Linked DNA regions of Macaca mulatta. Each later gene encodes a partner of the first gene's protein in a complex. Links are inferred from orthologs where the notes say so. Each region holds a gene or a part of one and is shown on either strand. Other genes may lie near its edges. The genes, in order: POLE4 and POLE2.

Region 1 (4,454 bases):
GTCACTCATTGTACCAGGCCTCTAATCACATTTCTACACAGCTATCGCCTCTTCATATAACCTAAGCATAAAAATAGACAGTTTCCTCTAGGTCTTGTGGTTTGCATTTTTGGACTCTCATGTCATGTAAAACTTGGATTGAATAGATTTGTTATGCTTTTTTGTGTGTGTTATAGGAGCGTCAGCTGTGACCCTTAAAATGGGTAAAGAAAGTTTTCACACCTTTCCACCCGTACACCAGTCAGAGTTTACTACATAATTTTGGAATTGAGTGATTTCAGATGTCAATTAATTCAGCTTCATCTTGGCTTCACCACATTCTGTCGTGTGTGTGTGTGACTCAGTAACCACTCTGCGCCTCAATGTTTTCAAGTAAGGTTTCAATAATAAGGTTAAGCTTATTTTGTAAAATAAGGTTAAAATATATAGGGTATTGTGAAAATGACAGAAGTTATGATTTACATAAATGTAAAACACTTTGAATCATGCACATACTAAATGCTCAAAGGGGTTCACTATTATTATGATTGACTTAGATTAAAGCTATTGTAAATATTAACTGTTCCTCTATGCTATCAGACCTCAAAGTGTGGTGTGGGGATTCATGGGGGTGGGAATTTTCTGGAGACCCTTTTCAGGAGTCCATGAGGTCAAAATTATTTTCTTAATACTACTAAGAGGTTATTTGTATTTTTCATTCACATTCTCTCAAGGAGATGCAGTAGTTTTTCAGAGTTACCTGAGAAGTGCTAACGTTATCAACAGAAGCAGCTAGAGAATCCAGTTCTCACATGAAATCAGACATTAGAGACTTTTCTTACTAGATTCATTTTTTAAAAAAAGTTTCTTGTCATAAAAATGTTTGTTAGCTCGTAATGCATTAGTAATTTTAAATCAGTATTTTAAAACTTTAATTCTAATACAGTAAGTACTGATATAACTGACAGAAACAAAAGCTACTTGGGCTCTTTAGTAATCTTTAAGACCGTAAAGGTATCTTGAGGTCAAATTTGAGAACCAAAGCTGTGATGCAACCTGTTTTTGAACAAACGTGGATGCCTTACAACCACAATTTCATCCTTTCCAGCCTCCATGACTTTTTCTTGTTTCCTCTGGCTGGGCTGAATTTCTTCTTATCTGCCTGCAAAAGCCCTACTCCTCCTTCAAGAGCATCCATAACTGAATTTGGTCCAGACTTCGCTGCCTCCCTGGCATCCTCTTCCACGATGCTGGGACCTCCAGGGCCGGGCCTCCCTCGGACACGTGCCCTCCTTAGCCTTGGGGTATTAACATTGTTTTGACGGAGGCTCTCTTGCGAGCCCAGTCTAGATTTCTCCCCTTACCAGCCTGGCACAGGCACCAAGGGGAGGTGCCTGGGCTCCACAGGCCCAACGGGCCAGAGGGTCACCAGTAGCGTCAACCAAGGGCACGACAGCCCAAGGGTGGCCAGGCGCGAGGGAAAAGCCGGAGCCCAGTCCCAGCCCACCCGGTTTCCGGCACCGCCCTGCCGCGTAGGGGCGGAGTCGCGCGCCTACACAGGGTGTGGCCTCCAGCCCGCGCGGGAAAGGGCCTGCGCCGCATGCGCGCGCACAGTCGGCGGCCGCGCGCAGCACGCTCAGGGCCGGGATGGCAGCGGCGGCGGCGGCAGGAAGCGGGACACCCCGAGAGGAGGAGGGACCTGCTGGGGAGGCAGCGGCCTTGCAGCCCCAAGCCCCAACGAGTGTGCCTGGGGCTCGTCTCTCGAGGTTGCCTCTGGCGCGAGTGAAGGCCTTGGTGAAGGCGGACCCCGACGTGACGCTAGCCGGACAGGAAGCCATCTTCATTCTGGCACGAGCCGCGGTGCGGCAGCAGCGCGAGGGCACGCGGGGGTGGGGGAGGTGGAGCGCGGGGCGGAGCCTCGGGGCCTTCCGCGGGCGGGGCTTAGGGTGGCGTGGGCCGGGTTTTGAGATGTGGGTGTGGACCCGGAAGGCGGAGGAAAGGGGCCGGGGACCTATGCGAGTTGTGTGTTTTGTTAACACTCCTCCCTCTTGTTGAGGACCTGGTTAGTGAGTGACTTTAATTTGTATCTCCAGGGCCTCATACAGAACTTGTAGGAGACTTTAGTGAATGAAGGAGAATCCTGGGAAGAGGGTGGCGGAATGGATGTTCATGAAGTCCAGGACAATCTTAGCTTCCAGAACATTTTCTTGCCCCTGAGCCTGCCTTCTCCCTCTCTGCCCCCACCCACAAACCAGAGCCCTCACCTCCTCAGTGTGCTAGAACCCATTACTAAAACTTTGCTTTTTTACTTCACAGGAACTGTTTGTGGAGACCATTGCAAAAGATGCCTACTGTTGTGCTCAGCAGGGAAAAAGGAAAACTCTTCAGAGGAGAGACTTGGGTAGAGTGGCACTGCCAGTGTCTGGGGACAGAGAAGGGAGGGCTGGGCTGGTTTTACCTTGCGCAGGTTGAGAAGACGTCACTCTGATCTGAGAGGTCCCACAGCGTCTCTCCCCAGGATGGTTTCTGTTGGCCACAGTGCCAGGAAGCCCTACCTGTAGAGGCTCTCTGCTTGGGGTGGTGGAGCAGTGTGTGGTGTCTGGGGTTGCCAAAGCGGACTGGATCCCTTCATACCTTCTGCCAAATTGCACCAGAAAAAGATAATTCTTTTTCACCTAGCAACTGGGGATTTGATTTCTGACTCTTGTCTGGTTGGTAACCCTCACCTGTGTAAGCTTTCATATACCGTGTTCTCATGCGCCCTGCGTCTATTGTCACATTCTTCTCTGATAACTTTAAGAGCAAAGCGAATAAATAATTTAGATGTATTTTAGGAGCCCCCTCCCCCCCCCGCATTGAATGGTATTTGCCTACACTTTTCTTACTCTTCTAGGGAGACAACTAATACATATATGAGAGTTGCTGGTAGAGTAGATACGGATCTCAAGGCAGCAAGGGACGCATCTTATAATTGCCCTCATTTGCCCAAAGCCTCATGCCCTTCACTGTAGATTGTGCTGTTTTCTGACTGACGTCAGCATGGCTGGAGTTAGTCAGGTGTCTCTTTGCCTTGTGTTTCAGATAATGCAATAGAAGCTGTGGATGAATTTGCTTTTCTGGAAGGTGAGTTCTCTCTCAGTGGGCAGTCATTTCCACCTGTCTTTTGCATGTTAATGTGAAATTCAAAACCTCATAAAACGGATGCCTGCTTCTTGTTTGTGTAGGGATAATTCTTTCTCCGTACTTGCTGTTAGAAAAAAGTAACTTGCTAAATGAGGTTCAGTTTTCTCCCTTGGGGAATTAAAACTTCTACCTGAAAATTGCTAGCCATAAAGAAATAGGAGGGAATATAAAGATCCCAGTGTAGTTAGATGAATTCAGAAGTTTGATTCCTATCTTGTTCGCCATACCTAGATATCAGCCTTGCCCCTCTTATCATGTTAGAGATCAGAAACAATTGTCAACATTTAAAGGGTGACCGCTTGTTCTTTTTTCTTCAACAATCTGTGTGAAGTGATTATTTTGCTGCAATAAGACTTGTCTGTGTTTTTAGGAGTCATGGATTAACTTGTGTACTAACTAAATTTTTTCATTAAAAAAGCAAATATTTGAAATACCTAATTTTAGCTACCTTGCCTCAGAGCTATTTCTGCTACTTAATTTTTTTTTTTTCTTTTTTGAGACGGGGTCTCGCTCTGTCGCCCAGGCTGTAGTGTGGTGGCGCGATCTCGGCTCACTGCAAGCTCCGCCTCCCGGGTTCACGCCATTCTCCTGCCTCAGCCTCCCCAAGTAGCTAGGACTACAGGCGCCTGCCGCCACGCCCGGCTAATTTTTTTTTTTTGCATTTTTAGTAGAGATGGGGTTTCACTGTGTTAGCCAGGATGGTCTCGATCTCCTGACCTTGTGATCCGCCCGCCTCGGCCTCCCAAAGTGTTAGGATTACAGGCGTGAGCCACCGCACCAGGCCGCTACTTAATTCTTAAATCTGATCAGCTTACTCTTCACTACACATATATAGTCATGTGCTGCATAGTAACATTTTGGTCAGCCATGGACTGCTCACATGAGGGTGGTCCCAGCAGATTATAATGGAGCTGAAAAATTCCTGTTGCCCAGTGAGGTAGTGGTCATAACATCCTAATGAAATACATTACCTTTTCTATGTTTAGATATGTTTAAAAACGCTTATCACCATGTTACATTTGCCTACAGTATTCAGTACAGTAACATACTGTTCAAGTCTGTAGCCTGAGAGCAATAGGTATACCCTGTAGACTAAGTGTATAGTAGGCTATACCATCTAACTTTGTGTAAGTACACTCTATGGTGTTCACACAGTGGTGAAATCGCCTGAAGATGTAATGCATTTCTTACGATGTATCCTTGTTGTTGAGCGACACATGACTGTATTTTGATTGAGTAGCTTGGCAAAAGCCATGTATCCTCATTTCATTCTCCCGGGGTGTTCTCATTAC
Region 2 (3,816 bases), on another chromosome or scaffold:
AATAAATGGTCATATGTATAATATAGATATCTCTATTCTTTAAACAGAAGGAAATTTATATGTAGAAAAGTGGAAAGATATCTCAGATATTAACTTCAAAAAGTTAAGTTGCAGAATAGTACATATACTATGATTTCATCTTTGTGAATAAACTGTATAGGTGTGTGTCATAAGTTATATATGTATGTATTTACATATATTTAGGATTACATACAGAAAAAGTTAGAAAGGAATTTTTATTTTATTTTATTTTATTTTTATTTTTATTTTTTTGAGATGTAATCTTGCTCTGTTGCCCAGGCTGGAGTGCAGTGGCGTGATATCAGCTCACTGCAAGCTCTGCCTCCTGGGTTCACGCCATTTTCCTGCCTCAGCCTCCTGAGTAGCTGGGACTACAGGCGCCCACCACCACGCCCGGCTAATTTTTTGTATTTTTAGTAGAGATGGGGTTTCACTGTGGTCTCGATCTCCTGACCTTGTGATCCGCCCGCCTTGGCCTCCCAAAGTGCTGGGATTACAGGTGTGAGCCACTGTGCCCGGGTGGCAAGGATTTTTTACAATGGTGTCCCAATTTTTACTACCTTAAACTTTCTGATTAGAAAAAAAGATCAGATTGAGAATGTAAATAATAATGAGAGCCTTTTAAAATACTAAGTAAAATTAGAATATATATTTTTAAATAGCTTGCTAATTTTCAAAAGGTACTGTTCAAATAAAATAAAATTGATATTCTTTTCTATATTTTAAAAATAAATGTACTTATCATTATTCGGAATGATATGGTGTGGATTCAGTCATTGGTAAGAGCCTGAGTTGATGTGGTGTTTCTTTAGGCATGATTCTTTCAGGCCATCATACACTTGATCTTACAGCTTTTTTGTAGGACAAAATTAAACATCCTAAGTTTAATTTTACAACTTTATTTCCATTTTATTTGATTTTCTACTGTAAAGTAGTTATAAATGCTGAAATGTGTACCCCAAATTTACTTACTTATAAAAAGTTTAGTTTCTTGAAAGAATATATTTATAGTCTTTAAAATTTATTTTGTTTTATTTTAGCTTAAAACAATAGAAACCTTATTGGGTAGTACAACCAAAATCGGAGATGTGATTGTTCTTGGAATGATAACGCAGTTAAAAGAGGTAACTTAATAAACATCAAACTTTTAGTTTTGGCCTTGGATTGATAAAATGTCGGTTACATAGAACATTTTTGTGGCGGGCACAGGAATGTACTCTTTATTGAAAACTCGCCTCACCAACAGAAAAATATTGGAATAGTGGTAATATAAGGAAATAGTATCATCATGTTAGAAGCCTTGGAATAAGGATAAATAATGGCTGTTGGCCAGGCATAGTGGCTCACGCCTGTAATCCCAGCCACTTTAGGAGTCCGAGGCAGGCGGATCACCTGAGGCCAGGAGTTCGAGACCAGCCTGACCAACATGGAGAAACCCTGTCTCTACTAAAAATACAAAATTAGCCGGGTGTGGTGGCGCATGCCTGTAATCCCAGCTACTCTGGAGGCTGAGGCAGGAGAATTGCTTGAACCCAGGAGGTGGAGGTTGCAGTGAGCCGAGATGGTGCCATTGCACTCTAGCCTGGGCAACAAGAGCGAAACTTTGTCTCAAAATAAATAAATAAATAAAATAAAATAATGGCTGTTCAGCAGAGAAACCCATTTCCTGTCTCCATAGGGCCTGTTTTACAATGATGTAAAAATTAGGTCATGTTCATTTTCATATTAGACTTTTTGTTAAATAAACTTTTGTAATAGTCAAAAAAACCAGAAAACAAAAACACAAAAAACTTTTCTCAGTTACCAAGTGTCTTTTTCGTTTGTGGTTGGTTTCCTGAGTAGACATCAGGACAGTGTCTTGTCTGGGAGCCCAGTTTGCATAGCCTGAAATTAGGCCCCTAGTGACCTCTGGATAAACAGAGAGTACTGGGTTTCTGAACAAGCAATCTGCAGAGTATGTCCTGGTCACTTGGAGATGCTGTTGGCTGTCTTAGAAGGTACCTGGGGAGACCCTCCGTATGGCAGACATTGAGTGTCCCTCTTGCCATTTTTTATCTGTAGGAGTCATTCTCCATTTTGTACCTGTGAGGAGTCAGAATCTCAGTTAAGTGATTAGTCTGGGGTTATCAAACTAGTAAATGGAAGAGCCTGGACTAGAAATCATAGCTGATTTTTAAAATCCACTTTTCTCCCTACTGTATTCTGTTGTCAAACTTGTAGTTTCATTTTTTGGTCATAGTTTTCATTGTTACATAAATGTGGATTTATTTCTTTTCATTTTTTTTTTAGGGAAAATTTTTTCTGGAAGATCCTACTGGAACAGTACAACTAGACCTTAGTAAAGCTATATCCTTCACTTGTCTGTATTTTTTAAAATCTGCATTATGTGAATTGGGGAAATTGATTATATATCCTTCTAAAACTTACCTATTTGGGTTCTCAATGTAACTTCTCTATGTTGCTGGTATAGGAATATAGAGATATAATCCTAAACAGAGACAGAACAACTTTAATTTCCTCTTATTTGAAGAATCTAGACGAATGACTGACGAAGTTTATATCATGATAAGAATGATCCACCCTGTCAATATTACCAAGAATTAAACATGAGGACATTTAAACCTAAATTTTTTAAAGCTCTTTCTAAGCTGTGGTCTATTCACAGTTTCAAATGGGAAGTCTTTGAATTTATTATTTAGAAGCCTTATTGGTCTCAAAATGTATGTTGACTTTATTACTGCCTCAAGAATAGAATTATTTTCCTCAGCTGTTGTATACCAGTTCCATAGTGGTTTATACACAGAGGCATGCTTTGTCTTAGCAGAAGGTAAGTCAGTATACTTTGTTACTGTCCTCCTTCTCATTCTCCAGTAAAACTATTTCTGCTTTGGGTAAAATATGTTAACATGATATAATTTGGGATACCATTAATTAGAAGAGCATATTTTTGGCAAAATAACTCTTAGACTGTTAATGGGCTAATAGATATCTTTTTGGGGTGATGAAAATGTTCTGAAATTAGATAGTAGTAATGGCTATACAACTTGTGAATATACTAAAAATCACCAAATGATACACTTTTTTTTTTTTTTGAGACAGAGTCTCACTATGTCACCTAGGCTGGAGTGCAGTGGTGTGATCTCGGCTCACTGCAACCTCCGCCTCCTGGGTTCAAGTGATTCTTATGCCTCAGCCTTCCGAGTAGCTGGGATTATAGGTGCATGCCACCATGCCTGGCTAATTTTTTGTATTTTAGTAGAGACGGGGTTTCACCATGTTGCCCAGGCTGGTTTCAAACTCCTGAGCTCAGGCAATCCACCTGTCTTGGCCTCCCAAAGTGTTGGGATTACAGGCATGAGCCATGCCCGACCTGAATTATGCACTTTTTTTTTTGTTTTTTTTTTGAGACGGAGTCTCACTCTGTCGCCCAGGCTGAAGTGCAATGGCACAATCTCGGCTCACTGCAAGCTCCACCTCCTGGGTTCACGCCATTCTCCTGCCTTGGCCTCCTTAGTAGCTGGGACTACAGTTGCCTGCCACTACACCTGGTTAATTTTTTTTTTATTTTTGTATTTTTAGTAGAGACGAGGTTTCACCATGTTAGCCAGGATGGTTTCTTGTGATCCGCCCACCTCAGCCTCCCAAAGTGCTGGGATTACAGGCATGAGCCACTGCGCCCGGCCCTGAATTATATACTTTTAAAGGGTGAATTGTATAGTATGTGAATGATATCTCAATAAAGTTGGAAAAAACACTTAATTTTATATAGGGCCATAAAATGAAACATTTCCTAAT

What was found.
Region 2: POLE4 (region 1) and POLE2 share a complex: the UniProt entries of both Homo sapiens proteins name them as parts of the DNA polymerase epsilon complex. The link is inferred for Macaca mulatta from reciprocal best matches to the Homo sapiens genes POLE4 and POLE2.

The regions. Positions count from the first base shown.
Region 1 is NC_133418.1:49,825,224-49,829,677, reverse strand, and holds the start of POLE4 (DNA polymerase epsilon subunit 4), read left to right. Parts: upstream 1-1,599; 5' UTR 1,600-1,626; coding exon 1,627-1,839; intron 1,840-2,295; coding exon 2,296-2,380; intron 2,381-3,060; coding exon 3,061-3,102; intron 3,103-4,454. UniProt on the Homo sapiens protein: Accessory component of the DNA polymerase epsilon complex. Participates in DNA repair and in chromosomal DNA replication.
Region 2 is NC_133412.1:122,890,412-122,894,227, reverse strand, and holds part of POLE2 (DNA polymerase epsilon subunit 2), read left to right. Parts: intron 1-1,061; coding exon 1,062-1,145; intron 1,146-2,310; coding exon 2,311-2,367; intron 2,368-2,799; coding exon 2,800-2,848; intron 2,849-3,816. UniProt on the Homo sapiens protein: Accessory component of the DNA polymerase epsilon complex. Participates in DNA repair and in chromosomal DNA replication.